2 linked regions of the Struthio camelus genome follow. The protein of the gene in region 2 interacts with the protein of the main gene of each other region in a biochemical or structural test. Links are inferred from orthologs where the notes say so. Each region holds a gene or a part of one and is shown on either strand. Other genes may lie near its edges.

The links.
Region 1: the proteins of SORT1 (region 2) and NGF form a complex in vitro, tested with the Homo sapiens proteins (3 studies listed by BioGRID and IntAct, with this or other methods). The link is inferred for Struthio camelus from reciprocal best matches to the Homo sapiens genes SORT1 and NGF.

Annotation. Positions count from the first base shown.
Region 1 is NC_090965.1:10,273,697-10,284,140, forward strand, and holds the start of NGF (beta-nerve growth factor), read right to left. Parts: upstream 4,488-10,444; 5' UTR 4,196-4,487; intron 1-4,195. UniProt on the Homo sapiens protein: Nerve growth factor is important for the development and maintenance of the sympathetic and sensory nervous systems.
Region 2 is NC_090965.1:4,133,727-4,144,170, reverse strand, and holds the start of SORT1 (sortilin), read left to right. Parts: upstream 1-5,838; coding exon 5,839-6,057; intron 6,058-10,444. Other genes in the region: PSMA5 (proteasome subunit alpha type-5), read left to right, coding at 1,837-1,914.

The DNA.
Region 1 (10,444 bases), about 6.1 Mb from region 2:
AACCGACTTTTGTGCAGAGAAAGTTCTGTGTAATTCCACTGTTTTTTAACACGCGCTCCAGAGTGAAAAACACATTTAATACCTCTATAGCCAGTCAGCTACGCTTGGGGTTAGACTCACAGCAGTCAGGTTGACATCTCCCATCCCTGACTTATCTCCTCAGAATATGCTAGAGCTTCCTGGCATCCAGGTTTCACCGTTTGTATTGCTATTCTCTGGACTCTGCAGTAATCCAGGTGAAAGGTATACTGTCAATGCAACGAATGATGTAATATTTCCTTGCTACTGTTTACTTTTATGTGTAATATTCTTGGTGAAAGCATTAAGAAAAGACTTCAGTTCAATAACGAGTCTCAAAATAAGATGTCAGCTCCACAAATAAATAGGCACTAAGAAATTAGATAAAACTGTGTTTTCCCATTTGAAGTATATTTCACTGAATTTCACAAGATCAAACAGTTACATACTTTTCTTAGGCCTTTTTCCACTTCCTCAGTCATAATCTATTTAGACCTTGATTTGCCTGTTTAGTTATATATCTCAGTGTTGGTCTCTTTCTGCAGTGTAAACTCACATGAACTCGTACTTGCCCCTAAGTAATGAATACTCAGATAAAAAACGCTATCTTCACCTTCTCGTTTAAACACAAGTCCCGTACCTTCATCAGTGAACTAGCAACACATAGTAAAAATTATGTAGTGACCTTTCTTCTTGCAAGAATGGGTAAAGTATTTGGCAGGCTAAAACGCTTAGGAGAAGAAGATAAGGATGTCTGTACCAGAACGGAAGAAAGTATTCTGTCTTCCACAGTACCTAGTAATGTTTAGGGAGTAGTATAAGAATAGGGCAACCATATAGTGATATTTCCTTATTATACTCTCCCACTCTCCAGTCATTTTTGAATTGCATTTGATTTCCTGAACTGCAGGTAGTATCTTTGCTTTTAATATGTCGGATTGCTTTTTGAACCCATCCAATGGAAAGAAATTCCATACCTTAATGATGCCTGGAGAAAAGAACAACTTTATTTTGTTTGCTTTGAACCTGCCACCTGTAAGTTTCATTTCCTGCTCCTTGGTTTTTGAACTGGGAGACAGACAACAGCCATTTCTTCTTAACCTTATACAGGACAGTTACGAGTATCTACATTATATCCCTCCTCAGCCATCTCTTTTCCAGGTCGGGAAGTCCTGATCTATGTAGTTCCTCTTAATATGGAAATTGTTCCAGGCCTTGTTGCTCTTTTTTGTGCCTTTTCTGGTTTTACTCTATTCTTTTTTTGAGATGTGGACAATGACCATAACTACATGCAATAGTCAGGACATGGGCACAAGATGGGCTTATAATGTGGGACTGAGGCTTTACTTTCACTGACTGAGTTATATAAATAGCGCTAGTGGAATCACACCAATACTCAAAGTGTGCATAACCTACGCTAATAGATACGATGATCTCTTGGCAAAAGCAAAAATGACCTTGCTGTGTTTGGCCACGTAATAATTTTTGGTATAAATGCATGCACACGCAAACACTTGCAAATATTTAATCAATTCAACAGAGCTGCGCAAAGGGCCTTGTGTCAGGAAAACAAGCCACTCACATCCCATAGGACATCTGTCCCAGTGTGGGAGACGCTTCTGTCATAGAAATGCTCTTAAAACACATTGGCCTCCGTGACAGCGCTGGAGTCAAATTGAGGATAGGGAGAATTTTCTTCTTACCGTGAAAAAAAGCAGCTCTAGTACCATTGTTACGGGTGCCTTTCACCCCTCGTTAGCATGAGGCAAGGCTTGTGGGAAGAAGTAGTATCTTACATTTCTCTAACTGTATCAGCTGATCTAATAAATGTGTTACTTTATGGTCACTTTCTGAACAAGCCCTTTAAACTTCTGACGAGAGGGCAGTTGCCAGCAGAGGTCACCATTGCTGTAGTCGAGTTGAAAGGTGTTGCCGTTCACTAGCTTTTAGTGGACTGAGATTTAAAGGATAGACAAATATTTCTAAACGCACCAGTACTGGTGTAGACTTTTGGTGCTGGAATATTAAATCTACTGGAGTGAAATCATTAATTGTTTTAACTCTTTTGTTTTAAGAGCAAGGTTTGTTCTCGAAATATATGACTAAAACAATAGTAGAACTACGTTACCTCCTTAAAATTATCGATATATTTTCCAAATGATGCCTTCAACTTAATGCAATTAATGTTAATTAATATATATTCAATATCCTGCCAGTTCTAAAGGTATTTTTTAAAGAAACAAAATTGATTAATGAAATGTGCATGATGGAATTTGCATTTACAGGAGCATTTTGTATATGAGCACAGGTGAAATTATGGGATGTATTCTATGGACTGAAGTAATCTAGTTTTTAAATGTGTTTCATCTTTCCTGCTGTTATATGTATTCCATTAAAGAAGGGCATTTTCACTTAAAAATGCTAATTATTACTTAATCAACATTTTACGTATTTTCCTAACCTGTTTTTTTAAATTAACATTTTACAGTGATTACATAGGAGGCCTAATCATTCTAAGTAATAATCATTCTAAGTAACTTAGCATATGGGCTAGAATGATCCTTTGTGCTCTGTAATTCTCCGCTGGAATTAAATGAAGACATCTGAGAAGATAACTTAAGCTTTTGGGTGAGAAAATGGACACTGCTAAGCTAAGAGGATGTGAAAACCATGAGCAAGAAAGCCACACTTACTTACTTTCTTTGCCACCCTGTTGTGAGACTGACAGATCCCTTTAGAGTGAGTGGCTGGGATTGATCAGGATGTGAAATGACTATTACTTTACTGCGCACATCTGCCAGAAGAGCTACTCTCCAGACCTTGCTGAGATTTTTTAGAAAATGATTCATACACCTAACGAGTAATATATTTAAGGGCCAAATCTTTCTTAATCCTGCTCATGTGGACACTCCATTTTATTTTCTTGATCCCATCACTGTAATTTTTTTTTGTGAAAGTGCAGACACTGTTGTAACTTTGTGAGTTTTGGACAAATGTGAGATGATGATTGTCCATCTGAACATGGAGATGGCTTTTTAAAAGGCCTGTTTTTCATAGTACCTGAAACAGCTCAGAACTGCAACAAGTATGAACTTACAGGCAAGTCAGCTTCCTGCCTTTTTGCAGATAATTGTCACACTCTATTTTAGCTTAGCAAAAAAGTACCCAAGAGGCTTTACTGTAATACACTAATGCATGAAAGCACTCATGAATTATCTGCCTAACAGTGACAATGCAACTTCCAAGTTGTGACAACTTGGAAAAACCAGCCTGACAAGCGTGCTCACTTTCACTGTTTTTCTAAAACTTCTTGAGCGTATAAGGAGAATTTAAAGTGAAGAAAACAATTGAAGCACAAACGCTTTTTGTTCTTGGCACACAAATTCCTTTCCTCCCTTGCTGGGGTCCCCGTTCCTGTGTCTGACTGGCGTATCAGATAAAACGGTGTTACTATCACCCAGGATAAATCAATAAACACTGTCAGTTTCATCCTGTCAATAATAGGCAGGCAGCAAGGAGTTGGTAAGCTTTTCCAAGTGTAGTTACAGAATATACAGTCTAAAGTGAACTACAGCTCTGCCTAGAGCTAGAAGGTTTCTGCCTTGTGCCAATTATGTCTGGATTGACCAGAATTCTTATTTATTTATTTCAGAAAAGCAAAAAAAAGAGTTCTTACCTAGAGTAGAATTATCATGGAAAAGAGAGAAAGTGTTACACCATAATGAAAACCAAGACAGCAAAGCATTTTCATATAGAAGTTAACTGCTATACCTGTGCAGATAAAACTAAGGTCTGATTTACCTGGATGAAAAACGATGCGTAAGAATGCCTACATTTCTCTAAGGTTAAGCTGCTTTTACTAAAGATACGTTTCAAGCTTTGAACTTAGCCACAAATGCTTTCTGAACACCTTCCAGATGTGCATGCTATTTAAACTGCATTAATAGATGCAATTTTCAGTCTTACTAGACCAAGCTGTTCTGAACAAATGTTACTTTTAAGCAACCAGCACTCCATGTTTCAAAGGCATCTGATCTGCACCCCTTCAAGAGAGCGAAAATCACAGTACAGCAAAAACATACTGGCAAATTTTAAAGACAGGAAAACTTCCACAACTGATGCAACGGCAGCATTACTTGCTTTGTGAAAACCCTTTGACGGTTGTGGGGTCACTCACCTCAGAGCTGCTATCACTCAACACTGGAGGGAGAGGAAATCCTGAGGGGTGTCCAAGCTGTTTTGTAGTCCGTAGCACCCTAGTCTGTGGACACTTTCCCAAGCCAGACGAGCCATTCACATTCCCTCTGCCTTTCCAGCCTCATTCACTGCTCTCAGGCTCAGCTAGCTGCACTGACTCACAGGAATTAAGCTCCCTCTGGGTCCTAGTGCTGTAAACGTGTGGGAGCTGCACGGACTCGTAGGAATCTAGCCTTTGGCTTGGCGCCTAATCCATGCAGTGATGCACAGATGTGCAGTGAAAGTTTCAAAGCGTGCACTGGCTGTATGACTGAGAAAAAGTGTCAACTTCCTGGTTCCACTGTCAAGAACTGAAATTCTCTTTAAGGTACTTTTTGTCTAAAGAATTTCTGCTTTGCATCTTAATATCTGTGCTGTGTTTAAAGATGAGAGGTCACAAAAGCAAAGCCCCGGGTCCCTGATGAATGGGTCCTTGTGAAAGTGATCCTTAGAGCCCTTTACTCATGTCATGAGTCTATGAAAAAGAATAAGAAGAAACTAACAGTTAACTGATGAAGCAGTGGACTAGGTTGTCTGCAAAAATTGTGCAGTCCCTGTTATCAGATGTCTTTATCAGGGGTCAGCCAAATACTGATCAGGAGTAAGAAGGAAATAGTTGATCCTGACTTGGGGCAGAGGAAAAGATTATATAAAGTGCCTTCCAGCCCTAATGTTTTGTGCTCAACATGCTTACCATAAGCAATAGAGGGAGATGGAAATGTTTCTCCATTATTTTTGTGAAGGAGGATTAAGTGCTTTACCACAGAGCAACAGTGTGTTTTAAGCCCTGAGAAATACAGAGAAGAAATGCAAAAGTGAAAAATTACATGACATTAAACAAATCAATAAACAGTTGACTGACTACATAAACCAAAGGAACTTTTAATACAGCTATGAAGCAGACACCTGGAATTTCATAGTTCTCATACTAGCATAGTGTAACCCTTGCCATTTCACAGAGACCCAAGGCAAAAAGTTAGATCATCCTCTACTGAAAAACAGACCACTGCATTTTATAAACGTGGAAATAATAAAACATCTTTTGATTACATCCAGAAGAGGGCGGACATCTGGAGAGGCTCATGCTTGAAAACCTTCTAGGAAGGGAAAGATGTGTGGAAGGTACTGTGTAAAGGCGTAAAGAAGAAGACAAAGTAGCTTTGAGATAATAATGTTTTTTATATATCACGTGAATGTGATAGTTCTTGAACTCGAACCAAGCATATCCTCTATTTTATTAGAAGTCGTAGACAAGTCTTACATTCATTTTCCACAGTGCCAAAGTTAAGACTGGCTTCAGTGCTAGACCTTTTCTTGGAGGTGATGTCCATTTAAAATTGCCTGAAAAATCCTTAAGAAAATTGCAACACAAAATGCTTAAAACAAATGCTGAAAATACCTTCCTAAGTTCCCAGAATTATGCAGTTCAGATTGGTTTGTTTTTCTAAAAGCGACGGCCCACACAAGATACCAGTCACAGGCCAAACTGTAATGTCTTCATTCACACAGACAGCCATCAGAATTTGTGAAAGTTTTGCCTGTAAAACTTGTCCTCGGGATTTGGCCTTAGATTCATATTTCATTGCAGAAATGCCAGGCTATTCTTGTGTTGGAAATTTGTCTCACTTCATTAGGATATCCTCAGGTTAGGATTTTTTGCTGACAATTTGAAAGAGCATTATAGCTTGGTGTGAGTATAATGAACAGCATCAAAACACCAATATAAAAATATATGCTCTTTTCTGACCAAAAAGTTAGTACATGCTTGTGCTTAGCATCTCTACGTTTGATTTCTTGGCACGAGTTGCATGTGTTTTCTTAAAAGTTAAAAAAGCTATTTTGGACACAGTAAACAATAATACAGTTTGAGTTTGTACTTAATCTGTATCACAAGCACTTACTTTTGTCTAACGAAATTCTCCTCTAGTACCTCATTCCATCATAGCAGCAGGTTCATATAAGCAAGAAAGATAGCTGCACCAGTCCCTAGGAAAACGCACTGGCTTGTATTCTTTTTCCTTATGTTCCCATGTACCCCAAACAAACAGCATTTCTACATTCCTAGCTTCTGGAAAATAGGCGTGCTCCTATGGGTATACTAGCCATGTACAGACGTAATCCCAGGTGGACTGCTATACTTGGAGCTGAGCAGCTGAAAGCGCTGCACAGAGTAGGTTGTATATCTTTCTCTTTTAGCAGTGCTCTGACCCACCTACTTGCACGGATGTTTAACTTTTATCTTTCATGAGTTGGGGGTTCTCTTGCTTAGGCAGGAAATCACTGATCACAAGGTAAAGAACTAATAATGTCAGGCTGAGCAAGGAAAAGATGTATTCTGGAATCAGAGAAGCTGCTGCATAGAGAGAAGTTCTTCTGTGAGCACCAAACTAATGAATCCTGGTTCTCTTAGAGATTTGCATCCAATTATTCTTCTGCCTCTACTACAATAATCCCAAATCTCCTATGACCTCTTGCATGAGCTTCCTTGAACAATTACCTCAATTTTCGCCTAAGAGTAAGTCGATCCATTGTGTTCCAGAGAAGCATTGGCATGTAGTGCGTTGACATATTTTGTTTCAGGAAACCAAAAGCACACAGATCAAAATGAAGAGCAGCACTGTTGAGAGTGGTGACAAGAGGTGAAATGCTTTGTGCTCTCATGAGTCTTGGGCTGTGGCTATTCTGACCATTAGGCTGAGTTCAGTGTTGCCCTAAGCCCCAAAACAACAGCTGTGGATTGTTACAGCCTCTTCCCCCTGCATCAGCACTTCTGTCCAAATAGGTTAGTGAAGGAGGCACAGAGTAGGAAAAAGGTGTTTTGTGTTTATGTGGGTTGTTTAGGACTGTAAGAGGCCTTGGGTACAGGAGGTGAATTCCTGCTGGAGTTGATGTCTTTTGTGCTCCTGAAAGAGTTTCGGGGAAGGTGTTTGAGGAGCAGTGGCTGGGCTTTTCCATTTATAAGCAACTTTCTTTGAGGAACAAAGCTGCCAGAACCAACAAAGTCCTCATTTGTGTCTGAAATCATTGTGAGTATGGAAGTAACGCAGGTGAGCAGAGCTACTGTTTCTAAAATCTTGCTGTCTAGAGAGGTGTCAGGGTGTTAATAAAAGGACCCACAGAGCATGAAAAGCTTTTCAAACATGTCATAAAAGTATAGGGCATGGGATGAGGGTGACAGATCTTGTTTTCTTCAGAGATACTTAATTGTGTGTGTGTGTGCGCGTGCACGTGCGTGCTGACAGCTGCATTCAGTACTTTCTTGTAGTGCTGGGTCTTTACAGGAAAAAAGATAAATCAAAAGTACACCCCCCACCCCAGCTATCTGGAGGTGCTTAGATGTGAATGCAAGAAGTGTTTTAAACGTCTAAAGTGAGGCTTTCAAAAGTGTAAGATAGAATCTGTTTTACCTAAAAGAATATTTATCACTTCCAATTTTATAAACCTCCAGAAAATAGAGCATTGCTATCTTATGTAAGCTTGTTTGACAGCTCTAGTCCTAAAGCTAAATTGAATGTAAAGAGATATTAAACTTAGCTCTTAATACTCAGCTGGAGGAAGCTAGCCCACCTTTGGCCAAATAGATGTTAACTGAGAGACTAGAAGGAATGGTCACAACACAAGTTCTCCTCTTGTATTAGTTTCAAACATGGAAAACCTGATGGACAGGTGGTCTCTTTTGGCTTTGTTAGTTTGTGTAGCATTACATTATAGTGTTATGTGTAGGGCAGAAGCTATTAGCAAAAAGCAGAAGCTCACTCATGGGTCATGAATAAGTAGGTCATACAAACAAGTTCATTACTGATTTACTGTGGGACTCAGTCTCCTGTTTTTTTCTTAACTGCTTCTGCTGCATGGTTTTTCAGTTGAATCGATAACGCATACCGAATGTAGCTTAGCTGCGTCAAGAAATTGATTTGCTCATGATGCATCCCAATATACTGCAGTTCAAAACAAGTGGTGATAGGAAACATTCAGTTATGGTGAGTTATGGACTTGCACTAATATTATTCTTTCTCTTTTGGTTAGTTATAAAGGGTACAGTAAAACAAACCATTTTGCTGTAAAATAAAACATCTCCAAAGCCTGATCTTAGTAAAAGCAAACTGTCTAGTGATCATCCAAGTGCTGTTACAGACAGAATGTAATTCTTATGGTAGTGACATATAGACAAAGCAGAGCTATGAGAATAACTTTACATAGCGTTCCTCTTTGGATTCAGCAGAGGTTTTGCCTGATAACTTATTTGGAAAGACACAGTAACTACTGTATATTACAGTATACATAAGCCTGCAGTTTTGTTAGAATACCTTAATATTCACTGTTGGTTTGCAATGAGGGTAAAATTAGAACATACGTGCTATTTTAAAACAGAAAAGGAACTATGAATTTTGAAAAACAGCACTCAGATGTTTGAGTGCTCTTCTATAGGAGGATAAAAGGTTGTAAGATACTCTGCTTAGTGGCTGCGTGGTTTTATCCCTAGCCATAGCTTGTTGCACTAGACTGAACTAGTGGCTGGGTTGGAGTCGGAAGTCTCTGTGAAAACCACGAAGAGTTGTCAGTCAGGGTTCACTAGTAATGGACTTGTGTGTCTCTTTTGTGGACAAAAGTTTTATAACCACATATGATCTGGTGCACCTTTCACACACGCTTCCGTGACAAGAGCATTTCAAGAGCTAAAGTCAAATGCGTGTTTCCCCTGTTTTGTTGATTGGGAATATGCCACGCAAACTCTGCTAGTGTTAATCCTTCTATAATCCACAGAGTCTGACAGCTGTTTCCCCCCTTCTTTGGGGGTACTAGCACCATCAGTGAAGCCCATAGCATGTTCTCATTTCATGCTGACGTTGGTCAAGTCTGCCTTGAAGCAGCTACAGGAGGCTTGGACACATCGTCTGTCACTGGATAATGAGGCTCTCATGCGCAGGTTCCCTGAGAAACCTGTGCTTCTAGCATTGCTTCTCTGCTTGCTGCAAAGGAATGGGACCAGAGAGAAGCATTGACTCTGGCAGAGAATGACTCTTCCCTGCTGTTTGGTCTGTGAAGTGGGCCTCGCTTTTTCTCCTCTCCCTCTCTACCGCTCTTTTACTATGCTTTAATTTAAACTGCTTTTCCTTGTTGAAGTCTGACTTCACCGTGTGTGCATAATGCGCTCTGAGATGTTGAGAATAACTTGCCAGTACAGCCATGCTTTGTTAATGAGCTCTGGGAGCTGACAGCCACTTACAGCCAGTAATAATATCTACAGGGGATGAGTATTATAACCTGATTGTTCTTGCCGTGTTAGTGGGCAGATAACATATGATCATATCTGAATTTTGCTTCCTTTTAGGGTTGCGATACTAAACCTTCATCTCCAGCAGTAGGTCTCAGTGGGGGCACAAGCATATTGAACAGGAGGTATTGCAGAGTCTGATCTAGAGGCGATCCCCACAAGGCAGCATGTTGTAATTGTTCTTAAGGGAGGCTTCAGTGGCACTGAAAAGCAAGAGGTTTGGGAACATCTCAGGGGCTCTGAGCACTGTACTAAAGATTCTCCCTGAGAAGCAACTTCCTCTTCCAGTGCGCCCTAAAGAAATTCATGGTGCCCCTCGGCCTTCTATCATAAAGTAGACGACAAGAGAAGAACTCTGTGTTATCAGGAAAGGTTGCCTTGTTGCTTAAATCTTGATGAGGAGGTAGGACAAACAATTCTGCATTCAAATTGCTGGTATACAAAATCTTAAAGGGTAAAATCAAGCATGTAAAATCAAGTCTGAATATGTTCATAAGAGGTCCAGCTTGCCTGGCCCACCTTCTTTCCAATAAACACCCTGCCTAAAATTTTTCTTGGAGGCATCAATTTTCCTGAAAGATTTCAAGAGAATCTGTGCCTCAACAGAAGAAACTGAAGTGATAACTAGCAAAATTTAGCCAAACTGTGAAGTTGAGTTTAAAAAAAGTAATTTTGTAAAGGTAGCAATTAGTCTGTGATAACAGGCATTCCCTGGCTGCTTTAAAGTTCACCTAAGATTTTTCTGAACTCTGGTACCAGAACAGGTTTTACAATATCAGTTAATTTTTTCAGACACTGCAGTCCTGTAAAAGTTTTTCAAGCTACCTATGCTTTACCATAAATTAATTAACATGCATTACCAGGAATGTTAGAGGCAGTCCTTTAGGGAGAACTGCAGATTGCAGTCTCCAGAAA
Region 2 (10,444 bases):
CATGTACAGTATCCTTATGTCATGTCCCCATTTAACTGGGCTTAACTGTGCTTGGCAAAGCTCTGAATGTATTGAGGAATCATATATCAGGGTTAAGTATGAGAAGAATGTGCTGAGGATTAAAAGGTCTCTATTGACTCAAGCCACCCTACTCTTTGAAAATATTTACCTGAAGTAGTTACTTTGCTTTCTAGCCTTCTAGAAGTATGTAGCGCTCCAATTTATTTACTCTAGTCACTACCTCTCTTGTATGGCTTTTTTCATTTAGCAGCAAAGAGAAGGGGGGAAATGCAGTCACAAAAGAATTAAATACTTCAGCAGCAAACTTCAGGAGCCTTATACAACTTTTAATTAACTGCTTCCCCATTAAGCCTGGCCTGTAAGGGAATAGTTGAGTAAAGGTTAAGTGTATGAGGAGAAGGTAATGCACAGGATCAAGCTGACCTGTAAAAGCTGAATAGCTGTTATCTCAGAATATTTTGTTTTGGGTGGCCTGATGCTTGTGTATATACACGTTAAAGGCTGTCAAGTCCATTTGGGCCTAGTATCTTAGGCCAAGACTTGCACAAATGATGTGAGGTGCCTAAACTGACATCTCTAAATGCGTCTGACTTTTCTGAAGATGCCAGCTACGGCCAGCTAAATCCTGGGCTTTTAAGGGGTCTCAGGCTGTGGGTGTTCAGGATGTCTCTCCTTGAAAAAGGCTTACTCTTGCCCTCCCCTCTGGCCCCAGATGCACATCCTACCATCTCCTGCTATTCTGTGGGTCACCTTGCAAGCTGAGAGGCCTGGGAAGAGCTCTGGTATCTGCCAGGACTGTGTGCAGCTTTGTTCAGCTTATCGCAACAAAACGCTTTGATCCCTTGAGGCTGGAGATGCCCAGTGCTGGGGGTGTCTGTGAGCAAGGTTTGCAGCATCCAGGCTAGTTCCTGCACCTTTTGGCTTGTCTGCCTGCCTGCTGCTATCTTGGGCTTTCATGCCATGAACAAGGTGCAAACAAAAGTCCCACTTGGATTCCTTTTCCGGTCTTGTAATTGTTCAAGTATCTCTTGTTCTGGTACTTGCTCTGTGAAATGTTTCAGCTGTCTGCCCTGGACGCTGCCCCTCTCTCTTCCTGGCAAAGAGGCAGGGCAGTGCATTTTGTCCCCCAGCTCTGTCCATTCGGCTTTGCCTTGTAAGAGAACTTCTTTACACCCGCTTGCATAGGACACCAGGTAGTTGCAAGGTACGTTGTGGTGACTGCCTTGCTTATTGTCAGTATTTGTTGATCAAAATGGCCACATGCATTTTTTTTTGTCCCTGCCTCAGTTTCCCAAAGCTAATCCACAGTCCCCTTTTGAGTATTTTGCTTTGTTCTCTTAAAGCGTGTAACAGGCCAGGACTTGTACCCTTCATTACTGGAGGAGAAGTGGTCCTTCTGGCTCCTCAGTGTTGCCTCCTGAATCTGAGCAAAGAGATATTTCTACCAAGCACTGCAGGCGCGGGGCCACCCTGAACTGCAGCAAGAGGAACCGCTCTTCCAAGAGGTGTTTGATGAAGAGCTAGTATTAACAGGGTCTCTCCCCGCAGCAAGCAGAAGCGGAGCCTGAGCCCAACAGACGTTCCCGGCTGCTGCTACTATGAGGAGATTGAGTCAATTAAAAGCTATTTCTGTGGCAGCCAGCTATTTTGGGGAATCAAAGAGCATGTTACAGGGTGGAATGATCTTGCTGGGCTGGCAGATCAAGCAGCTGAGAAGGAACAGCTGCTGTCTGCTGTGGCTTCTCTCTGTTCCCTGCCCCATGCTGTCACTTCACATATGCAGGCACGCTTAACCCCTTGCTCTTTCTCTTTCAGCTTGCCACAGTGGAGCCGGGAATGAAGTTCCACATGTATACGAAAGAGGAGCTTGAAGAGGTCATCAAGGATATTTGAAAAAGAGAGACCCCCTCAAAGGCTCATTCCCCAATCAAAGTGAACTGACTCTCGGTTCCTTCCAGTACCTGTGATTTTATTTCCAGCAGCATCTGTACTTGCTCTTCTTAGAAGGCTCTTAAGGTTTTTTTACAGTTTCTGTACATAACTGATCTCTACAATAAGAGGAAATGACAATAAATCATTTTGTTACTCTATCTTGGGTTCCTCATAATGGATGGAGGTCTGAGGTGGGGAAGTGCTCGACCGTTTAGAGCAAAACCCAGGAGCAGGTGAGGACAACATCTGCTGTTGACATCGCTGCAGGGCGAAGCAGCGCGTGCCGGGCTTGCAGAGTTCTCTGGGAATCGCTCTCTGGACGGCGCTGTTCCTAACCGCCTTCCAGACGCGGCGGCTGCTCCAGGAGCCCTTGCTGGTTATGCCAGTAGCAAGTCTCCCTCTCGTGGAGAATGAGGCTATATCACATCAGGACCTCCCATGTATAATTTTACATGGGCTTTTTAGGTCTGCTCATACCCAAAGCAGGCTTGGTGTTTGTGCTCCCTTCTGAATGGGAGTTTGGAAGTACATGCAATGACTATGTGATACAGCAGAGTTCCCCAAGCGTGGAATAGCTCTGAGGTTAAGAGGACAACCCCTTACTCGTTGACCTGGGCAGGTGTCACTGAATTTTGAGAGTATTTTCATTCTGACCAGCGAACTTTTGCTCATCTACTTAATGGGGCTTTTGTTTCTAGTTACCCCCTGCAGGCACCTCTTTGTCCTTGAAATAGCATCTGAGTATTAAAGATTGCTACTGAGATGAAAATAGTCTGGCCTAAGCAGAGTTTAGCAAAGTACTTTCCTGCGAAATCAAGACTGCGTGGCCAGTGCAGCTTCTGAGACTGGAAAACCAGCTCTGCTGTTAGGAGGCTCCTGGTAACACGTTGACTATGCAGTTCTGTGGCTTTGTAGGCAGCAGAGGCTGTGTCTCCCCGAGGCTGCTCCGCTCTCTTCCCTATTTGGAGAAGGTAAAATTTCATCCTGAACAAAACAGCGCTGACTTCTGTGAAAGAAGCAGATCCCGTGCTGCTGCTGGGAGTGGGGATCGCCTGATAAGTGGGGATGCTTCCAGCATTACATTTGACTGAAATGACTAACTTTCCCCTCAATTCAGAGGTCGGGATTGACTGCCGACCTCCAGCAGACATTTCACTGCTGTTTGGCTTTGCCAAACAGTTGCAGCAAACTGACACGACTGATCTCGCGGCCATTTCGCAGGATGGAAAACGCCGATCCTGTTAGTTTTTTTTTCTTCTCTTGCTGTTGCTGAATGCCTTCAGATGCTGGAAAGGCAACCAGATCTACATGGCTGGAAGATCTGTCCTTAGACAACATCTATTTTCAGAATAGCAGAAGCCTTTGCTCCTACGAGTTTCTGCTGTGAGGTTTTTTCCCCCCTCGTTGGTACGAGTTCAAATGAAACAAGCTGGAGAGCCAGGTGATGCCTGAGGTCTTGTGATACTAGTTGAAGACAGCATCTATATCTGCAGGTGGAAGAATAAACAAGTGGCTGGTGGACTTTGCCCTTCAGGGAGACTTCTTTGTAGCCTTAATGTGGGAAAACAAGTCCTTCAACTTTCACTCCGCTTGCATGGCCTTTGAACCACTGCCCCTGGTCTCTCTATGCTACTCTTCATCCCTAGATGAACTTGGGAAGTGAGGAGGGAAAGTCCAGGGTGGAGGTCACTTACCTTGAATGTTTGGCATGCCAGAGATGGTATTGGGGCTGCTGCTCCATGTGTTGCCCTAATAAACTCATCCAGTAAATGCAGCTCACACTGGTACCAGCTACTGTGTATGTGGAAGAAATAAGTACCCTTTATCTTTAGTATTTTAAGCCTTTACATTCACTCAAAGCTAGGTCATGTTCTCTTGCTTCTCCTTTGGAAGGGAAGCCGAGGAGCGTTTCCAGCTGTTCTGCAAACCCTGGCACATGAAGAAACCTGCTGTTCCCGGAGGTAGTGCTCTTTCTAGGCTTGTTTCTGTCCTAGAAAACACAAAAAGCTAATTCTTCCCAGCATGGCACTCCAGCAGAAAATAGTCCTTTATGTCTTTCCCTAATCACATGGTTTGCTGGTGGCAGCATCACATGGTAGCTGGTTCCTCTGAAAAATCAAGGCTTTGTGTTCCTTATATCTGATCCGTCTTGGCTCCATTGAGGGAAAGGAAAAAAGCCGGAGCTCTTTGCAGGCAGTCCGAACGCAAGAGAGGATCTGAGCGTAACAGAGCTGGGCGCACGCACCTCCCGTGCGGGTGGTTGATACCTGCCTCCGCTCTCTTTATCGGTTGAACGATGCCACCCAGGCAGCTTGTCACAAAGGTGTCTTCCCTTAGGTCTTTCATGCATCAAGCTCACAGATTTTCCCTTTTCAGGGCAAAAAAAAAAAAAAAAAGTAAAAGAATGACACAGCAGTAAGAAGAAAACCCTCTTTTTGCAAATGAGGAAGGATGAAGGCCTGGAGGGCGAGTAGCAAAGAAGTCAGGAACTTTCCCAAGTGCGTTTTGATCTCAACTTTGTGCGGCCTTAGGTGTGGCAGGAGGCTCAAGCGCTGTCTGCGCGGCCCGAGAGAGCAGGCGTCAGGGAAGAGGGTTCCTCGCCCGCTTCCCCAGCGTCCTCCTCGCTTGCACAGCCCGGCTTACCCTTGACGGGAGGATGAACCTTTCACGCGGGATCGCGGCCAGATATCCAAAGCCGCCTCCTTTCCCGGGCTCCCGCCAAGGGATCCGTCGCTTAATTTATTGGGAAGCCGCTTTCCGCCCGCGGTGCGGCGAGCGGCCCTCTCCCCGGCGGCGGGCGCCGTCAGCGCCAGGGCAGCGGCCGCAACCTGGAAGGCGCCGGCGTCGGCTTGCTGGTGCCAGGCGAAGCCTTACCGGGCCCTAGCGCGCAGCCAGCCGAGCCGGGGCGGGAGGAGAGGGTCGCTGCCCTCCGCTAAACCCGCTCGTGGAAGCGCCCCTCGCAGCCGGCTGCGCGTCCGGCCCCTCCGCAGGCCGCGACCTCTCTCCGCGCTTTTCTCCTCTCGCCGGGTTTGTCTTTCTCGCTCCTCCCGCCGGCTCAGCGCCGCACGCCCTCCGGCCCCCCGTTTCCTGGTGGCGTCGAGCGAGCTCCCGCGAGCCCCTCGCGCTGGGGCCGCCGGTTGTTTCTGCGTGGCCCCCAGAGCCGTGAACCGGGCCCCAAACCGGGACGGGTGAAGCCCGGCCTGAGCATCCCTGTGCGGGGCTGCCTTGCCAGGGTCCCCCCCCATTACTGGGCGGCTTCTCCGGGGCCTGGGTGTCTCTGGGAGCAGGGGGTCCCTGCTCTCCCTGCCAGGCCCGTTTTTTTTTTTTTTGGGGGGGGGGGGTGGTCTGCCCGCCGGACGCCTGGGCTCCTCGCACCCCCCCCCCCCCCAACCGCTCCGCCCACGTGGGCCGGCCCCCACTTTGTGAATGGGCGAGGGGGCGGGCCTTCTCAGGGTGCCCCGCCACCTCGGCCAATCAGAAAATCGCTCCGCGGCCCCGGTCGCCGCCAATCAGAGGGCTGTGTCTAGGTGGACTAGAATGCGGGGTGGGGAAGGGAGGCGGGGGCAGCGGGCAGTCGCGCAAGGGGTACGGTGGGGAGCTAGCCAGTCACGGAAGGAGGAGAGAGGTGGCTCGGCGGTGATTGGCAAGCGAAGAGGCAAATCAGGAGGCGGGGGCGGGGCGGGGCCGCCGGGGAGGCGGGCCGCCCGGTTGCCATGGCAGGGAGCGACGGCGGCCGCGGCCAACCGCGGCGGCGAAGCGGGCGGGGGCGGGGCGCGGGGGGCGGGGCGCGGGGCGGGGGCCGCCAATGGGGCGGCGGGGGCGGGCGGACGGGGCGCGGCGGGGGCGGGCGGCGGCGCGGGGCGGCGGGCGGCGGCCGGAGTCGCCATGGGGCCGCGCGGGGCAGCGCCGCGCGCGCTGGGGCTGGCGCTGGCGTTGGGGCTGGGGCTGGCGCTGCGCCTCGCGCCGCCGCCCCGCGCCCCCCCGCGCCCCCCCCGCGCCATCGGCGGCGGCGGCGGCGGCCTCGGCCTGGCGGCGGCGGCGGGCGGCGAGGCCTGCGGCGGCCTGCGCGGCGTCCCGGCCGCCCTCGGCAACAACACGCACCAGGTGAGCGGGCGGGGCCGGGAGCGGGGCGGGCGGGACCCCCCGGCAGGGACAGACCCCCCCCCCCCGGCAGCCCCCCGCCCCGTCCCGGAAAGGCACCGGCAGGGTCAGACCCCCCCCCCCGGCAGCCCCCCGCCCCCGGCAGCTTCCCCCCCCCCCCCCCCGGCCGGGCAGGTACCGGGACAGACAGGCCTCGCTGCGCTAACAGGTCTCGGGAGGGACGGACGGACAGACAGAGGCTGTCTGCGCAGCTGTGGGGAGGGACAGACAGACCCCTTCCCCCCCGGCTCCCAGGACGGACGGACAGACAGACAGACAGGCGGTCCCTCCCTCCTAGTCCCCCCCCCCCCCCCCCCGCAGCCCCTAGGGGACATGGGCAGACAGACGGACAGGCAGGTCCGTCGGGGAGCGTGGACAGACAGACGGACAGGCAGGTCTGTTGGGGAGGCATGGACAGACAGACGGACAGGCAGGCAGGTTCCCTGGGGAGGCGTGGACAGACGGACAGGCAGGCGGCCCCTGTAGTCCCTGGCACAGACAGGCGATCCCCAGCAGCAGCAGGACAGAGGGACAGACATCCCATCCTCCTTCCGCACCCACCGGGGCAGACAGACAGACGGACGCGCCGTCACCCTGTCCGTGCTGGGGCAGGGCAGGGCGGACTGACAGAGGTTGACCGGCGCGTGCTCCAGGACGGACACCCAGACCCCCCCCCCGTTGCACTGATGGGGGCAGACGAGGGGACAGCTAGCTAGCCAGACAGACGGACAGGCAGGGGACCTGTGGAGAGGCACCCCTGCAACGCCAGGACAGACAGCCGCCCGCCCACCCTCCGGCGGGTACTGGCAGCGGGCCGGTGGTGAGGCACCTCCCGTGGACAGACCCCCAGCGCGAGCGCCCGCTGCCTGGACGGACGGACGGACAGGCTGACTGATGGGCAGGACGACAACCAGCCAGCCTGAGGCTCTCCCTCTCCCTTCGCCCTGGGCAGGGACAGGACAGACAGACAGACTGACCCCCCACCGCATGCCGGGAGGGAGGTCCCACCGGGATCGCAGCCGCCCTGCGGTCCCGTCCTGCCCTCCCGCTGCGGGGACGGACAGACTGACAGCTCCCTGCCGCGTGGGCGCCGGCGGAGAGGTAGGGGACAGACAGACAGACCGGCAGCTCCTTCCTGCCAAGCGGGTGACGGAGCGGTTCCCGTCCCTGTCCCCGCTCGGCGGGCTCGGGGCGCTCGCCCCCCGCCTCCCCGCCGCCCTTGGGAGTGGCGAGGGCGAGAGATTAAGCGATGTCGCCAGATTTGGCCGACCTAAAATCTAATCTGCCCGGTTTATTTCCCGCTGGCAAAGATGACCTTAAAACCCGCGGGAGAACCGCTTCGGTCCTTCCTCTGCTCCTCCGCGGCGCCGGGAAATGCCCCCGGTGCTGGCAGAGAGAGGAGCCCGTCCCCGGCGTTTGGCCCCGTGGCTGCTCAGCCCTTGCCGATCGCTCGGTGTTACTCATCCACGCGGGCAGCTCCGGCTTGCCCGCGTGCCAGCGTCCGGGTTGAACATTAACCGTGCCGAGGATGCCGCGGGTACGGGCTGCCCTTGGCTGGCAGCGCCCCTTGGCTCGGCCGCCGCGCAGGACTGCTTGTGCCGGGCTTGGGGCCGGGCAGCGGCCGGGGCAGCCCCGAGCCAGGGCCCGTCGGGGCAAAGAGCTGCCTAAGCCGACGCCGTCGCTGCGTTGCACCGGAGGTGCCGCGTCTGCAGACTCGGGAAGAGGCGGGCGCGCGTTGCTGCGGGTCGAGATCTGGCAGGCTCGCTCCGCGCCGCGCGACTGTAGCCGCTGCCCTCTCAGCCGCCGGCTGCACCCGCTCTGCCGGCCCGGCCGGTTGCTAATTGGCGGTTGGAAGTGGGTTTGGAGCCCGGCTCTACCGGCCGACGCTCTGCTTTGAGCTGGGCCGAAAGCTGGGATCCGGCTGCTTGATTACACGCGAGTGTTTAGCTTGGCCGGTGCTGTTTTGGCAACCTCCCTGCCCCGTCCTGCTCTTCCAGGCCTCTCCGGGAGATTTCCTTCGCCGCCGCGGAGGCGCTCGGCAGCCTTGCCACCCGGGCAGCCCCGTCCCGCAGAGGCGAAGCTCAGCCCGAGCGCGAGTGCTGCTCCCAGCCGGGCTGGGAAGGGGGCCAGGCTGGCCTGACTCCTCGTCCTTTCCCTTAACCCGCGAGCCAGCCGCTCGCCCGCAGCTTCTGCAAAAGACACGTAGTGTCTTGGAGAAACAGGCTGTGTCGAAAGTCCACGGTGGGTAATAACGCGGCGTCTCAGCGGGGAGAAGAATGCGCCCGTTTGTTCGCTGCGACCGGCCGGGTTTTGTCCCTGCGGCGCCGGTGCCTGCTGGAGAGCAGGGCGAAGGAGCCGCGGCTTGTGCTCCCTTACGGGCCCCTGGGCCGCCTGGCAGGGAGCGAGATCGGGCGGCCTCTTGTGCGGCGCTTGGCCTCTCCGTTTTCCTCCTTTCCTTCCTCCGGCGGCTCCGCAGGCCTGAGCTAACGTGGGCGAGCGCGGGGCTCGCAGCACCCTCCTTCCCCAGCCGCCGGGGCTGCGCCGGCCCCTGCTCGTCCCTTACCCCGGTTCCCGCTGGGAGAGGCGTCCCGAAGCCGCCGAGCCGTGCGCGCGGAGCTGCCGGGACTGGGAACAAGCCGGGCGCCTTGGCTCGAGCGGCAGCGTTTCGAGGCGCCTCTGTCCTTGCGAGGGCACCGAGGGAAGTCGCTTAGCTGCTGCCTCAGTTTCCCCCTACCGCGAAGCAGGAGGAGGGAAGGCCCCTCCTTGCAAGAGCCCTGCCAGGTCAGCGCACCGCTGCACAACAGAGGCGTTGCATGGACGGAGCGTTTAGCCCCAGATCGTGGCCTCCCTCCAGTAAATCCTGAAACAGGGACGTTTCTGGATATGATCGCTTGTCTGCTCTGAGGCTCATTCACCCTCGCTGCTGGTGGACTGGCTGGTAAAGAGCTTTCCTCTGAATTCAGAGGATCCTCGACCGATGCACGGGACGATGCTCCAGAGCGGCGCCACAGAAGGGAAGTTGCTCCTTGCTGCAGTTGCTGACTCGGAAGCACAAGATTTGGCTCGTTTTGAGCTGCGGTCAGCGGCGAAAGCCTGGATAACCTCCGTGCGAACCGCAGAGCGGCCTGGCAGCGCGCGGGACAGCCGCTTTGCTGCCGACAGCCTGCTCTGCCCGCGGGAGCCGCGTTTCTGGCAGGCGGCGAGGAGGGTTAGGAGAGCCCCGGCTTGCAGGGCTCCGGCCCCGCTCGCGCGCGGGCTCCGTCGGTGCCGGGCTGCCTCGCTCTGCAGCGAGGGGCAACGCGTCGTGGCCGGCGAGGCCACGGGCCAAACAGCTTCCCGGTGCCGTTTGCGTGGTCCGGGGGTGCAGGCGCCGTCACCAGCTTCGTCACTGAGCTAATGAGGTGCCGCCGCCTCGGGCCTGACCTCAGCGTTTCGCTGTCTGCAATTAAATCTTTGTCTGGCAAGCATCCTCCCCGTAGCAACCTAGATAATTAAAAGCCTGCGACCTGGTGTTTCTCTTATTGCTAAATTGAGTTTTAAATGGGTGGCAAAAGCTGTGCAGAGGCATCGTTCTTGCTCCCCGCCCTCCCCGATGCCATTGCAGTGGTTACAGCGACGGCGCTCTGCTCTCCCGCCGGGCGGGGAGACGCGGAGCGGCTTGGGAGGGTCCCCGCGCCGCCCCGCTGCTCTCGCCCGGGGACGCGCGAGGTTAGCGAGCGCCGGGAGCCGGCGCCAAGTTGCGACGCAGCAGAGCTCTCTGCGGCGCGGGTCTGCTCCTCTCCCCGCAGCCCGCTCCTGCCGGTGCTGCAGAGCCCGCCAGCGCGGCGGGAGAGCGGGGACCGATGGGTCTCGCTGCTCTGCCGGGAGGGATTTTGCGATCAGGGAGATCTTGCGATCCCTGGGAAGAAACCCCTAAACCCAGGGGGAGGCACGGCACGAACCCACGGGAAGGAGCGGGAGCGTGCTTTTCCAGCCGGCGCAGCATCCTCGCGCCTCCCTCGCTCGCCGGAGCCGGTTCTGCTCTCAGGGTCGCTTGTCGGGGGCCTCCGGCGGAGGAGAGCCGCCCAGTTTGACCAGACGTTGGACTGGTCGCTGGCCCGCTAGGTCCAACGCCAGCAGGCCCCGGCTCACCTCCCCTGGGACTTTATTTTTAGCTCTGCCCTTGTGACTAATGGGGTCAGATCATCTCTAATAATACGCGAAGCACAATGATATTTTTCCATCTGGTTTTGCCATGTCCGGCTAAGAAGTCTCTCCCCCGCTAAAGCCTTCTGCCTCGGCTCCCCCTGCTCCGAGCATCGTTTAGCCTTATCCGCTCCGTTTGGTTTTGCTCTCCTGCAATCCGTTGAAC